2 linked regions of the Schizosaccharomyces pombe genome follow. The protein of the gene in region 1 binds, or shares a complex with, the protein of each later gene. Each region holds a gene or a part of one and is shown on either strand. Other genes may lie near its edges.

What was found.
Region 2: elp6 (region 1) and elp4 share a complex: the UniProt entries of both Schizosaccharomyces pombe proteins name them as parts of the elongator complex.

The regions. Positions count from the first base shown.
Region 1 is NC_003423.3:1,864,069-1,871,776, reverse strand, and holds elp6 (elongator complex subunit Elp6), read left to right. Parts: upstream 1-6,093; 5' UTR 6,094-6,168; coding exon 6,169-6,363; intron 6,364-6,445; coding exon 6,446-7,000; downstream 7,001-7,708. Other genes in the region: phosphoserine phosphatase Ser2, read right to left, coding at 476-574, 646-1,443; SPOM_SPBC3H7.08C (uncharacterized protein), read right to left, coding at 1,934-2,175, 2,336-2,387, 2,457-2,525; palmitoyltransferase Erf2, read left to right, coding at 4,328-5,380; protein tam8, read right to left, coding at 7,024-7,257; trm141 (actin binding methyltransferase), read left to right, coding at 7,591-7,708. UniProt on the Schizosaccharomyces pombe protein: Component of the elongator complex which is required for multiple tRNA modifications, including mcm5U (5-methoxycarbonylmethyl uridine), mcm5s2U (5-methoxycarbonylmethyl-2-thiouridine), and ncm5U (5-carbamoylmethyl uridine).
Region 2 is NC_003421.2:1,460,800-1,468,902, forward strand, and holds elp4 (elongator complex subunit Elp4), read right to left. Parts: upstream 3,592-8,103; 5' UTR 3,540-3,591; coding exon 2,454-3,539; 3' UTR 2,187-2,453; downstream 1-2,186. Other genes in the region: nucleoside diphosphatase Ynd1, read right to left, coding at 1-1,428; translation initiation factor eIF2B alpha subunit Gcn3, read right to left, coding at 3,974-4,262, 4,359-4,801, 4,857-4,996, 5,054-5,207; CLRC ubiquitin ligase complex WD repeat protein Rik1, read left to right, coding at 7,375-8,103. UniProt on the Schizosaccharomyces pombe protein: Component of the elongator complex, a multiprotein complex which is required for multiple tRNA modifications, including mcm5U (5-methoxycarbonylmethyl uridine), mcm5s2U (5-methoxycarbonylmethyl-2-thiouridine), and ncm5U (5-carbamoylmethyl uridine).

The sequences.
Region 1 (7,708 bases):
GTCAAAAGCACATGTTTTCTGCAACTCTTAATAACTAGATACAATTGTATTATTTACAATTAATAAATGATAATAAAGAAAGGTCTATGAAACGAAGGTGTAGTCATTGCACGAATCAATTTCAAAGTCTATCAGCATAACGAAGCAGATTTAAGAGTAAATGATCGGCTTTATAAAAACCAATTGAGTAATTCTTGTCTGTTTTAAAGAAGAAAGCTTCTGAACTGCCCCTTTTTTTTTAAGCATTCATTGCACACCCTTTCCAATGAAGCATTGATCATACCAAAATTGTAAATTAAGGAAAAAGAAAAATAAGAGTATCAAAAATAAAGAAGTAGGGTATATAAAAGACGGCTCCTACTACAGAAAAAAAGACCACGCGCACAAGTAAAATATTGCTTTATAAAAACCAAGCCACAGTAGCTCAGAGTTCTTGACAGCGCCTTGCGATTGAAAAATTCTTGGAAATTCTAAATTAATTTTTGTTTTCCAATAGCTTTTTTTGTTGTTGCTCATCAATACCCAAGAGGTAAAGAGCGTTTTGCAAAGATGGAAGATTGATTTTCGAATCAGCCTAATTAAAAAAAAAAATCGAGTTAGTAAGATCATTAAAAACATAAATTTGTAAAAAAATTTCGAACATACCAATAATTGAACTTTGGGTTTAGCTTTGAACGCAATTCCTAAACCGGATTCGGCCATCATGACCAAATCGTTAGCTCCGTCCCCAACAGCCATCGTTTCGAGCTTATTTAAACCCAACTCTTCCCTCTTTTCACGCAAAATGGAAGCTTTTCGTTGTCCATCTACAATTGCACCTTGAACTTTTCCAGTGAGGAATTTACCATCATCGGAAAATTCAAGTACATTGGCATATGCATAGTCCAAGTCCAGTTGTCCCTTGACATATTCAGCCATTGGAACAAATCCACCACTAGCGACAACAAGAGTCGCACCCATTTGCTTAAGGCAATGACAAAGCTGTTTAGCTCCTGGAGTGAAAGTAATTTTGCCAATGACTTTATTTATGACATCGACGCTCAACCCTTGTAGTAGAGAAACGCGACGACGAAGTGATTCTTGAAAGTCAATTTCCCCATTCATTGCAAGAGATGTAATCGTAGCAACCTCTTTCTGGATGCCTGCTTCTGCCGCGAGCTCGTCAATACACTCTTGTTGAATCAACGTCGAGTCCATGTCAAATACTACAAGCTTCTTTTTAGTGGAAAATGTTGCTTCACTCAAGCAATTACAGTCTACATTCTCAGTAGCAGAAATGCGGTTACAAGCGTCTTTAGCATCTTCAAACGTTCCTTTAAGTTGGCCTGATACTAAAGTCCACTGTTCCCCCAGAGAACGAGTCTTCCCATCTCTAAACAAGGAGGAAATCTGTTCAAGCACATTTGGACGATTTGAGGAAACAACTATGGCTGCGTTGACCATGCTTATTAAAAGGTATGAGTGGGTTTGCTAAATTTTCTAAGTTGAAAAGCGTTGTTTTCGGCAAGTCCCATTTACTAATTACTCGGCTATTGATTAAGCTTAACGTTAAACGACAACAAGTACTAGGTCAATTTAAGTTATTTGAAAATCTCAAACAAGCTTATTTTTTGTTATTGTTTACAAATTTATCATTATCTTCAAAATGCTGTATAAATTGTGAAGTTGGTAAAGTGGTGCCTAAACTCCGTTTTCAAACACAGGTTAATAAGCAAATATTTTTTTTATACATTAAAGCAATAAAGCAAGAAATCATAACTAAGAAGATGTTTGGAAATATTGCAATATATCAGGGCAAATATTCCAAAAATGAGAGCCTACCATAAAGTAGAGAGTGAGATATTTGTAAAGTGAAAAAGCACTAAAAAAATATTTGGCAATGTAATAATTGTTCTCTTTCATTCCTAAAAGGTTATACACAATTTAATGTGCTTTACTTAGAGAATCGCTCAAGTACCTCTTCTGATACACCTTTAACGGGAAAAGTGCTGTATTGAATAGCAGAAGGTGCCTTTCGAGGTTCTTTACTCCTATCTCCTCGAGGATAATACTTGTAGCTATAATCAAGACTCTCATCACTTTTTCCGCTACTGCTTTTGGTGTCTTCCCAGGGGTGAGCATTTTTTGAAGGAATTCGGACTTGATCTTCATGTTGTACCAACAAGCCCCGCTGTCCTAAAAAACTGTTAGCTACAATCATTTAATTTAAACAATCATATGTAAATGCGCTTGTAAAATAAATATTCTGTAGGAAAATTTTAACAGAATATTAAAATTGAGTATAATGTTTCATTAACTGCGCTGATTTCTAATTTTCTACTAATTTTTAACATACCAAGCATATAACCAGCAACTCCAAAGGTATAAGTCATGACACACCAAGTTATCTAACAGCAAACTGATCAGCTTACGAAATAATCAACTCAATATATTTTTCAAAAAAAAATTGAGCTTACAAATAGTTCTGGATATTCTCTTGACCAGCGAACCAGGCGGTTCGACATAATTGAGCGCATAATTGACATGATGGTTCCAAAAATAAAAAGTTCTTGTTCGCTTGAATAGTTTGATTAATTGTTTCGAGATGGAAAGGATCTAAAATCCTTTTATGATTGTAAATGTCAAAATGAAATACGTAGGCGAACATTCGCAACATTTATGACAAGCATCAATATTTATGGGGATCGCCACCTGACGCAGACAAGACGTAGCAACGGTGCGCATTAAGAGATTCAAATTTGAATGGATAATAATATCATAATAATCACCAACTCCTTCTACTAAAGTGGTGAAAGAAGCAACTTTCCAATATTTCTAGATTTTCCAGCGTTTGCAATCGGGATCGAACCGCCCTTGTATTTATATTGCTTTATACAGTTTTATAATACTTTTCAGATACTACCTCTACCCTTGTATTATACTATAGAATTTGTTAGGACACTTATTTACTAAACTTTTCCTAAGATTATATTTGTAAATAATAAGAAGAGAACACTAAAAAACTTCGCAAACAAATAAAAATGGTTCGTACCATTATAAATAAATATAGTCATTTTTCAAAATTTAGCTGCCATGAGGTTAGTAACTTAATAGTAGTTGCTGACCGCAAATGTTTCTCCAGTAAAGTAGGTCCAATGTACAAGTACGTTTAAAAGCGTCATTGAGATTTTCTAAGGAATAAGAATTTAATTCATTTCCCTTTAAAACAGGAAATAAAACCAAAGGACCGCTTGGAGTCATGCATATTGAGGAATAACAATCTAATTCGATAATCTTGTGAACTACATTTCCACTAAATACAGTGAATGAAGCCAGGATGGTTTTTCTTAGATGTAGATTAGTAATAATTTTTCTTCAAAATTTCATCCATAACTGACCATATACCGTGTTTCTTGAGTTATTTGTTTACAAGCCATAGAGGTTATTGGGTTATTTCGGGGCTAGTGAAAGTATAGAGATGATCCTTTAAATTAGCCCTTTCATTAATAGCTTCGCGATAATCATAATTTCAATAGTTGCAACACTCTAATAAACTTTTAAGATCTTTTTTCGTTGCTTCCGTACCTTCATTTCTAATATTTTCTCAATTACACCCTCCCATTATTTTCCTGCTAGTTATTTAGCCATTTTAAAAAAAAAAAAAAAAAAAAAAAACATAATACACAAGATGAAAATGGTTTACTAGCTAGTCTACTTCCCATGATATTGGTCTTTTATCTTAGTCTTTGGAGTCTTTATCGAGTCATATATTACTAATTTTTCCATATATTATCCACTTTCTTTACAAACCCGAAATTGCACGGATAGTATAATTTATTAAACTTGATTTTTCTAACTTTGAGCCCTGAATTGTTGTACTGACAGGATGTTCCAATTACAGTATCGATGAAATATATTTAAATAAAAAGTTTGAAAAATATAAATACTAATATATTGGCACTCTTAAATAATTTTTTTTACATTTTATTCGTAAAAAAAAAATAAGTACTTTATTTATTATTATTAATTTTATTTCTTCGGTTAGTATTTTTTTTTTTAGCATTTCATTTCATATTCTGTTTTTATTTCCCTTCTCTTTTTAATACACTCTCATCGATTAAATAGGCGCCATTCCAAATATTAGTTATTAGAGTCACATTCTCTAATTGTTTATTTATTTTGATTTCTTTATTTGCTTAGTAAACAAACTTTGGCGGATGCTAATATTTACTTCACCCTCCATCGCAAAAGGGGTTCATATCCTTACCGACAACAAAACTACAAGATATAATACCAGGTGTAAAAATAGCTGTTTCTTTGCCATGTTTGTTGTTTAGAGAATATAATCATGAGCTATGAGAAACACAGTGATGCTAAGGCATCCCGCTACGCGTGGAATCAGCCATGGAATCCATTTGAGGTGACTTTGTCTGATCCAACGTATCCCATGAATTTGGAAGAAAAGAACCAAATTCCTTATAGATTTCAATCCGTTCCTGATGATGTTCCGGAAGTACCGCATATTGAAAGCCGATATAAGAATTTACCAGGAAACAATATCTATTTATGTTGTGGTCGATTGCAAATGTCATCTCAGTACAAAGCTTTCCTCATTAGCTTGTTTGCCTTGATTCTTCCAGGAGTCCTTTTCTTCATCTTTTCTGCTTTTTGGCTCTGGCATCATGTCTCTCCCGCTGTCCCTATTACCTTTGCTTACCTGTATGCCTTAGCCGTTGTTTCCATGTTCAAGTGCTCGACTGCTGATCCAGGAATTCTTCCTAGAAATGCATATTCTTTAACTTATAACCCTGCCCATCCCTGGTCTGTAATTCCTGAAGACCGTAAAGTCCTTGTTGGATCCACTCGGTCTGACTCTGTCTTTGTTAATACAGTTTATTGCCATACGTGCCACTTATATCGTCCTCCACGTGCAAGCCATTGTCATTTATGTGATAATTGTGTTGAATACCTTGATCATCACTGCATTTGGTTAAACACTTGCATTGGTCGTCGAAACTACAGATATTATTTTATTTTTTTGTTATCTGTCGTTCTTTCAGCTTTGTATCTAACTGGATTGGGGTTCTATACTTCTATAGGAAGTTTTCATGAATCCACAGATACAAATTTTGCGGCGCATCTTCGTCGTCCATGGGCTGGCGTATCTTTCTTCCTTGGCATTTATGGGGCACTTGGAGCAATACTTCCTGGCATCCTTTTCTGTTACCAGTGCTATTTAATATCTGTTGGTCAGAATGTTCATGAATACTTACGAGCAAAGAGTACAGAAACTGAAGATGTACATCCTTTTCATGACAGCATATGGCTCAATTTTCTGGTTGTCCTTTGTCGTCCTAAAAATGTGAGTTACGTTCGTCCCACTAGGAAGTCTTACGTGTAATATGCCTTGGCTTCACAAAGAAAATAAGAAATAAAAATTTTTTATTTGCTAGACAATAATGCTCAAATCGCTCACGCATATATGCTACACTCTTTCATCTTCCCCTTACCAATTTACTTTTCAGTACCGAAATTAATTTGGTTTTAATAACCGGAATAAAAAAGATTACTCCCCTCTTCAAAATTTTTACCTGGATAATGTTTTGTTCTTTTTTTTCATCCTTGTCGTCGACCCCTTCAGCTCGCCCTTTGTACTTTACAGAGAACAATGTACAGAAACAAATGTTTATAAAACTATTCCTTGTTCTCACCAATCTCTGGAATTATTAATATTTAATTTGGCTGCTCTCTTTTATTTTTAAAGTAATGCTGCTTGTTTTTATGACTTATATGATAGATAGATGGTTTTACCTCCTTTAGCTAAACCCCTTTCCAGTCTAATTTATTGGGATTTGCTCTTTATTGTTCTTTTTTATTATTATGATTGCCTTTTAGGCAAATCAATGTTCCATAGGTAGATAGTTTTTCTTTTTTTAATGAAATAGCTTATCCACATTTAGAGGATAGTTTTCTGGAAAATAATTTGGTATTAGACTTCTTTAATTTGATACTTGAAACTTCTATAATATTAGAACTAGCTTTGCATTACTGACCGGCTTGTTCATTCTTACTCTGGTTCATGTTGCTCCGTTCCCAGGCTTGTGTTTTCCATTCACCCTCTACAACCATTCGGAAAGCTGGTTACTGTAGTTAGGCTATAAAACTAATGACAAACGGCTCTTAAACCTAATGTCTTCTTTACACGAGCATTTACGCCCCATTCCTGAGCCTTTTTCTTTAACTTTGCTACTGGGAACAAGAGAAACACCTGTCACATTTCTGTTCCATTATTATTTATACCATGCGTTGAAAGCAAAGGAAAGTACTTGTTTTTTAACATTCAGTAAAACCTTAGATGAGCATGCAATTAGTATGCGTAAATGGGTATGTAAAAAGAGGGATTACGATTGCATAAGTGGTTGAATGATAAACTATTCGTATGACTAACCTACTGAACCAATATTAGGGAATGGATATTAAAACGAAAAAAAATTTCTTCTTTATCGATGGCTTCAGCATGCTATTTGCTCCTATTTCCAAGCCTTCGAAGGTACAAGCACCAGAAACCAAAAATCACATCAAATCTGTTTTCGCGCCTGTGATCCAATGTGTGGAGGAAAACGATTTTGAATTTGAAAACTCCACGATCATCATAGAAGATATTGATATTTTACAAAGTACTCATGCTCTCGATTCCACAAAGATTCAGCAGGCAATTTTGGAATTACGAAAATGTTTCAGTAGAGTCATTGTAAACGTGACTTTGGGAGCTCCGTTACCACAACAAAAGTCTTTAGGCTCTTCAATCGGACACATGGCAACTAGATGTATTTCCTGTCGGCCTTTGACTAGCGGTAGCGCTCGACGAATCACCGGATTCCTGCGTCTTTCTCGAATGCCAAATCACTTTCGTAGTGGAATATGCGAGACCCCGGAGGATGATGACAAGGAGCTTTTATACGAGGTAACGGAAGCAGGTGCTAAGGTATATTCCAAAGGGCAGGTGACGCTGCAACTCTAAATTCCTACTTCATCTACTTTTTCTCAATTATCTGCTGCTGCAGTCTCTTCGTCTCCCTTCTTTTCCACTTGTACATTATCTTGCACCCACCGTTTTACTAAAAATGTTCGTTGAGGCCTGGATTCATCTCCTTCTTCATTATCCTCATCATCTTCATTAGAATATGTATCTACAACAACAGGAACCCATTCTCTGCTCCAATGCACTGCTGTTTTTTCATTTTGTTGAGGTTCCACACTTTCTGAAGTCCTATTCATTGTATATTTGTAGAGTTGCGAGTATCACAAGGTGCGCGCGAATTGGTATAGGTGTAGGTTTACAAGGAAGAACAAGACGCTCTCTGCACAGTGTGCATTGATTTGTGAATTTGGAATTAACGAACTAGGTTTGGTTATTTTTTTATTTAAAATAGTGCTTTTTTAATTTAAAAAAAATTGATCGAGCCAGTTTGGTATTCATTGAAGGTTGTAGGGTAAATCGTTGTCATACAAATTTTTTATCGCATTTTTTGGAATAACTACTGGGTTGGGTAATATTTTGAAACATCTTTCATACATATAGAAGACCGTGCTACGAAATTGTTAGGAGATATGAGTGGTATATCAAAATTAAGTGATTTTTGGGTTGAAAAATATAAAAAGGAGTCGAAAAAGTCTTGGGATAAGTTTTACAAGCGAAATGAAACAAGGTTTTTCAAAGATAGACACT
Region 2 (8,103 bases), on another chromosome or scaffold:
TGAAAGAATAAAGAACAATTTATTAGGAAATAACCTCATCCAATGTTTTGAAGGGGATGCGATTAGCTTTCCGTATGGGTCCATATAATAATTAGCATATTCCGGTTTTGCTAGAAGTTGCTGATTTGATGCATAAAGCAATACTTGGCCTAAGGTCCAGCTCACTTCGGTGCGTTCTATTTTTTCTAAACTCGTGAATGGAGAATGGTACGCAGGAATTACCGAGAGCCCATCCTTTGCATCATTACTACTTGTATTTGACTTGGGAACGTCGAATCCTTCATGAAGGACATTCAACGCCCATGATGCTTTAAAACAAAGCTTTTCAAGCTTGTTTTCATCAGTACTTGGAGTCAGCTCTTTATTATAAAGACGGGAAAGCATGGTTTCCCACTCTGTACCACAATACTCGTCAACTTTTTTGTAAAAATTAGGGAAATGATAGCTACCGCCCATATCAAACACATCATTAGTCGTATACCAAAATTCCGAGACCCCAACAAATTCAGTATTTGCAAAATCAACAGGAGGAATAGATATTCCATCAAAGTTACAAGGGTCCATGGAGCATGGCTTGTCTTTATTTAATAGATTGTAAGTCAGTTTCAAGCATTGTTTCAAATCTCCAGTACCGGCAAATTCGATCCCATCGATATCATAAGTTCGTCCACGCAAGGAACACGGATCGCTTAAAGTGTTGCCAACTTTTCCGTTTTCGCTTTCTATTAACAGTCCCAAATACCTGCGGTAAGCTTCATTAGCGCCAAAACCGAGCCAGGTAGTAACAAACAAAGGATATTCCAATTGCTGACCATTTTGTAGTCCTATGTGAACGGTCGAAATACTATCCTTGTAATTTTTGAGCTGAGATGGGGGAAGTTCAAAAGCAATTTGCACACTCGCACCGCCCATATCTAAAAAACCAACCGTTGACGTATCTTTTTCTTCAAGTGTCTTAAGGAGATAGTTCGTAGCTAGCCAACCATACATACCTTCAGCTTTGCCATCAATTACACGGATTGAATTTGAGCAATTAGGTATGTCGAAATCGTAATTCTTTTTAATATATCTACAAGCATGCGAAAGTATTTTGTTTTGGGCATCAACGCCCAGTAAACGCATACCAGCTGTAGCACTTAGGAAAACCGGAGTTTCTTTATGTACATCTTTGGGAATAGCATGAGCAGCAAAATCCAGGAGTTCTTTCAAATGCTTCTTCCCTACATGCTTAGGGTTATTGGCAAAGGAAGAAATTCCAGGTTGAACCTTTAAAGACCATTTACCACCATCCCCAATCCCTGTCTCGATTAATGGTAATTTTTTTACTTTATCACTTAAAGAGGAATCGGTATCATAGTCCCAAGAATAAATTAGAAGTCTTGAACCACTAGATCCAGCGTCGATGAAAATTCCATACTTTCGAACCATTTTTAGCCACCTGCACTTATTTTTCTTAACAAAATGTCTCTTTGTCTATAAGACTGGATATTAAATAACTTCGACTCTGAAGATGGATATTTTCATCAAACCAGCCCAATTTGCCTTTTGTTTGTTGATGGTTGAAAGCGCACTATGGCGATGTGAACAATTTCAATATGGCATATGTTCCCAAGATATACATCAATAAAATTCAGTTAAATATATGTATCTGTCTTATCAATGAACCTCTATTTAACTTAATTGAAACATTGAATGAACGTTTGTAGTGGATTATGAACATTCAACTCAATGTTTAACAACTAGCGAATGTATAGGTAGCACATTTTTAGGTGGTAAATCACTATATAGTGAACTCTGTCAAAATGCAAAAAAAGTAAATTGAGACGAATTTAAGGACCCATTCATACGGACTATTGGAATAATCACATTAATTTTGGTCACTTGACTTAAAAGATAATGCGACTAGAATTAAAGAGAAAAATCGAATACGCGAAAACTTTTTGATTTGTCTCTTTAATTTGCTTAGATGTCAAATACTGTTAGTACCAACAGATTGACAATGTTTTGATAACAATCATCAACAATTTACTTCAGAACTGTTTTAATAGAGAAAATAATTGTATCCTTCAAATTTCAACGGTTTAACACTGTTTAAGATTTAAAATGTCATTTACTTACAAGTATTTCATGCACTTTGCTTTAAGATCACAGTAACGGTTCTTCGTAGAGATATTTGACGGCTTTCAGTTCGCATTCTATATTAACTTGTGTTTTAAAGTTTTGATTGAGAGAACGTTTATCCCATTTGACGAACATTTAGATAATTGATCAGTTATCTAGACGGGAGAAATGAAAAATATTTAAACTCGTATGAACAATAAATAACACAAATGCAATGCATCCAAAAAAAATTATAAAATCCATTTACAAACCATAACCATATCACATAACACGAAAACGAGTAGAATTTTAATCCAATTCAATACTCAGAAACTTAGAGGTTTTTTAATTGTCTAAAAATCCAAAGATTTAACAGGCTGTTTTTGAGGATTCGTGTTTGAAATCTTCGTATCCTTTTGCTCATCATCCAGTGGAGGAAGGACCCATGGTTCAATGGTAAATCTTCTTTTCGATACAGTAAATGAGAGGTCTCCAGCTTCATTAGAGTTTGCATGATTGGTAAATGGAAGTGCTAAGGGAAGCTTATGGATACGGAAAAGTCCTAATGGTTGTGTAACTAAACCGTTAACAGTTTCTTTGACCGGGAAAGGATGCAAAGAGAATACGGCGGATGCAAGGTTTTCTAGCCAAAAAATTTGCTCGCAATCTCTTGAAAACAAAGTAGAAGGAACTGAACACATACATATCAAGTGCACCGAAGTAGTGCATTTGATGAGCGATGAAAGTGTGTGAATAAATCTTATGAAATGCTGCGGATGAGTAGCACGGATAGAATAGAAGGCTGGGGACAAAATGGATGGAAGAACTAACCTGCATACCGTACCTGGAGTCAGAGTAGATAAGAATCTCGTTAGACTTTCAATGACAGGGGCGTAAGGATTAGACCCTGTTTCCAAAGGGAATGGAGAAACAGCGTATTTCATATCGCTTTTCACTATCAAATTCTTTGACAAATCAAAGGAGTGAGTATAGCCAGGAGGAATCATATCAAGGGTCGGTGCCTTGGTTTTGGAGACTTGTTCATACCTCCAGGCAATTTTCATTCTTTCTTGCTGGGGATTTTTAGAGGGAGGAGAAGAATGATTATCCTCTCCAGCTGAATTTTCGTTTTTATTAGGCCGGTCGCTGTCGCCTGGAAGTTGACGAAACCACATCTCTCCAATAGATGGACCAAGCCAAATAACATGGTCCTGTTTAAGGCCTTCCGCTGCAAAAAATTTAAGTAGCACAGAAGCATAATCCATCGAATCTTCCTCTATAACCAGCAAACTTTTCATTGGAATGCCGCCAGACAAATAGTAGTCAAAAGAAGAACTCCCAGAGCTTGTAATCCATCTAGCATCCTTTGAAGATAGTCTAACGCCTGTCGGCAAGTTTGTTGGTGCTATTTGAGGTGCTGCTTTCCTTTTGAACGACATCAATACTTATTTCGATTGGTGTACGTGGAATAGCAAATTGGATGGAAAGGTTAACGCGACGCAAATTTGCAGCACACATTTAAGCATCATCAGTCAGAAAACAAAGAAATTCAGCGTTGCGATTGAGAAAATAAAAAATTGTTGACTAAAGTTAATCATTCAATAAAAATACCTTTTAGATAAATTTTGTTGAACTAATAATAAAATTTCACTAGTGGGCGCATTGAAACAAAAATAATATTGTAATACTACAAAATAACATAGAAAATGTTACGTCGTACAGTCAATTAGCATGATCGGAAAATGTATTACTGTTGTATTTTTGAAGATTACTTTCAATCCGAATCTAGTTGGACAAGACTTATGAGAAATTTAAGTCAACTCAAAGTACAATCTATTCATATTTTATTTTTAAGATCAGGAGAATCTGATTGCTAAAGATACAATTTAATTAGCTCTTCGCTTACCCCACTCTTCGAATCAATGATCCCTAAATCGGTAATGAGACCTGAGACAAATTCGGGTGGTGTAACATCCAAAGTAGGATTATTTCGAATTTGTTCTTCATTCATGATCAGCTCGTTATGAATAGCATCTGATGGAGTTGGAATTGGTTCAGGTTCAGGATGAACAGTTTCAGGAGATGGATCATCAAATTCCAGAATAGGACGACTAAAGGGAATATCATATTGAGAAAGGGGAAACATACGCACGAATTTATGACTAAAAAACGTTAGTACAAATTTTAAAATTAACAGGGAAATGGAGAGATCATAGGGAAAAATAATTGTAAGCTGAATGGATTCAACGTTTACGTACCTTTCTGCAACTGCGTAAAAGGGCTTATGTGCATGTTTGGCAAAAACGGCAAGTTGGAAAGTACCGATTTGATTAATGAGTCCTCCGTTTTCGACAACACCTTCTGCGCCAACCAAGACCAAATCTACACGGTTCATAGTAAAGCTTACAGCGGAATCCAAAACCATGCAAGTAGGAATACAAGCATTTTTTAATGTTCTCGTCATTAGACAGCCTGAGCCGCTAGGTCTTGATTCTGTGACAAAAACTTTGAAACGAACGTGACGCTTGGCAGCAGCCAAAAGAACAGCCGCAACACCGCGTGAAAACCCATGGGTAAGAATAACACTACCATCTCGAATAAGAGGGTAACCTAAATGTGCAATTCTTTGTCGACAAGCACGAGCACGCTGAATAAAGAGTTTTCCATTTTCTACCAAGTGACGTTTGCATTGCTCAAAATCCTAAAGCCGTGGAGAATTAGTAAAGAAAAGAAAACTACTTTGCATCAACACATACCCCGACATCGTGTAGTGATCGAGTGACAAACCGTTGGAAAATGTCACAACCAGCTGAAAGCGAAATGTTGTTTTGAACGCCTTCCTTCAGCGTATTTGAGCCATTTTGTAAAATGTCCATAAATTCTGAAATTGTCTTGGCTAATAGAAAAACATCAGTAAATTCATTTCTCACATGAGTACTACAAATTAACATACCTTGAGAGCGCGACAAAAGCTGGACTAAAGCCTCAATGGCGGCTACAGGCATCGTGATTTCTGGATCATCTTGCAAAAATTTTTTGTAAACCTGGACGATGTCAAATTCTCCTTGAGAATGTCGAACGATTCCCGAAGAATCCGATTCCACCATATTCGCAGATGCTAGACGCTCTTGCTTAGTAGCAACATCTTTTCCATACTTTAAGGATATCCAACAAAATCAAATAACGGGCAATGCCTTTTTGTATTAAATTGTAAGCTACGCAATTTGGTATCTGATTTAAGGATACGTAGAACTGCGGTGAGTTTTCCTTGTGATCTATTATATTACAATACACAGGTTGTATAAGTAGCAACTGAGTATAGGTATTGTATTAACTGAGTTATAATGTTACCTATCACTAATATAGCTCATAACTGAACTGAGGAACGAGGTTCAGCAGTAGCTCTATTTATATTATTCAGATAATATAGATCTTAATAGATTATCATTAAGATCAATCTCAATATCGTATCATACATGGTACGATATATAATTAGAACATGTGACATATAGTGATACGCAACGTAGATGATGCGATGTCGAGATTGATATTGATAATACTATATTAACAGATAGATTATTTGGATAGAATCGATAGAGATACAACTAAACCTCATTTCGCAGTTCAGTTATAAGTGATAGGTGACATTATAACCTAAATAGTACAATACCAGTACTTAGTCATTACTTATATAACCCGGCTATTATAATATAATGGATCATATGCAAAATTCACCAGTTTTTCGTATCGTTAAAGCAGATACCAAACTGCGTAGCTGACATTATACGGCGTTTTGGATACTGATCTACAGATATGTTCCTATAGATATTTATGTAGGTGATTTGAATGGTATTTACATATAAATTGGTTTATTAAATAGCTTATATTTAATTAAAGCTAAATATTGAGAATAATTTTAATATCATATTCTTGACTGAGTACATCTGAGGATAATCATGAAATTCTTCCTCGGTGATCAGTAAACAATGCTTGACTGTTGATTTCCAATATGTAACGTTCAACGATACTTATCATTGTATAGATAGTGAATTTGTAGTATAATTTACTATGTTCCTAATAGTTGAGCGTATCATGAACGAAATATGTCAAAACGCTTCCATTTTAAAAAAAAAGGAGTACTGATGAAAGCAGTAATTGGATTTGGTAAAAAGTAATATAGAAAGTTTTTTAAAAAACTATTTTATGTTTAAGAGACCTTTCAAAAGTTCATGACCATTTCTACGAGAAACTAATCTTTAGTCCAACCTTCGTAAATCTCGCTTATATTAAGCTTGATTTTACTTCGGTATTTATGGATGACGCGAACACTAAACTGGTATAGAAAAAACGCTATTACTTTCAGCATCTAAAGAAAATCATTTATGATAATTTCTATGCTTTCAATTATATCTAAATATTTACATGCTCAATCATTCAAAGCGATGCTACAAAAATATTATGTTTTAGTTGTCGACTCGAATTTCAGTAAAATCCTAACTTTATTGCTAGACATCCGTAGGTTTTCATTTATGCTATAAATCTGTGAATCACCTCGTGATCGGCAAGTTGTTAAAATAATCTTTTAAGTAACTCTAATACCATGCACTATAGTAAAGAAGGTATATATTTCTTTGCGTGCCTAGTTCTTGTTTTCAATAGCAATAGTCGTTATCTCCCATAGCTTTTAATTCTGCTCATCGATGAGAGTAACATATTCCAATATCTTCTCTACATTATCAAATCGTTTTGCAATTATAAAAATATCAATAGCTTTCGATTTCCCCCAATATGGCTAATGCTAAAATTTATAACATTGATGTAGAATTTGGCTTAGTTAAGATGCAAGTTGAAAATGTCTTATGTTTTATGATTATCAGAAAATGTTTTGTGTAGTATCTGATATTAAAAAATGCATATCAACTTTTACAATAAATTCGCTTGCGCAAAATGTATAGAGACTGCATATCTCGTTTCTTCTCCCTGCGGAGTGCCTGTAACTGGCGTCTTGCACTTTCATTCAAAATCGAAATTTTTTGGTAAGGATTTGATAGAGATTGTCACTTGGTAGCATATTTTTTCTATCTTGAATTCCTTTTTCTAGGCTTTTGTGGCTCTTGGCCGTCCACTCTTTATTTTTGTATTCAACTGTTTTTTAATCACATAAGTCTAGTCATAATCTTTTGAACCAACTCAAAGCTTCTTTTTTTTATTTTTTTCTTTGTTAAAAAAAGTCTTTATTCCTTTTATTATATCAGTTTATGGATTTCATCGTGTATGGCTTTATGTGTTCATTCCTTCTGGGCAACGGCGGTAGACACAGCGACTTCATGTCATTTTATATCATCTGAAAACTGCTTAGTTTTATTACAAGCCTTAAAAATTAATATTTATCTCTGTAGTGAGGTTCATGGCTTACAATTCTTTACCTCTATCCCTTTATTTTCTACGGTGAAACATATACGCCCATATCGCCCTCCAGGATTAGATAGAGACTATTTATTTGTAGTTCTCAATGATGATACTTATTTTTCGATTTATTGGGACGAGGATTATCAAAAAGTGATCGTCGACCATCCTCCAGTTCGCTATCGAGTTACATTTCCTTGGAATCGCAACGCGAAAAGCTACTGCCTTGTCGACTTAAGGATGCGTGCTATTTTTTTAAGCATTGACGAAATTTCCATGATATGTATTAGAATCCTTTCTGCCGAAGAACGGTTGAAAACTGGCCGTTCTATAGATAGCGGATTTCCTTTTTCTTTTCCAGTGCATCTCATATATGATATGTGCATTCTCAATGATTCCAGTACCCCAACTCTTGTGGTCCTTCACAGCGATGGCTTAGATTGTTATGTAACAGCTTTTCTTTTAGATTTAAGCTCAAAAAGTTTGGGAAAGGGGATTAGACTATTTGAGCGGGTTAAACCGTCAATGATCATGCCCTTTGGAAAAAGAGGTTTGCTGGTTTTTGAGAGTTTGTTTATTCATTGCATGTATCGCGGT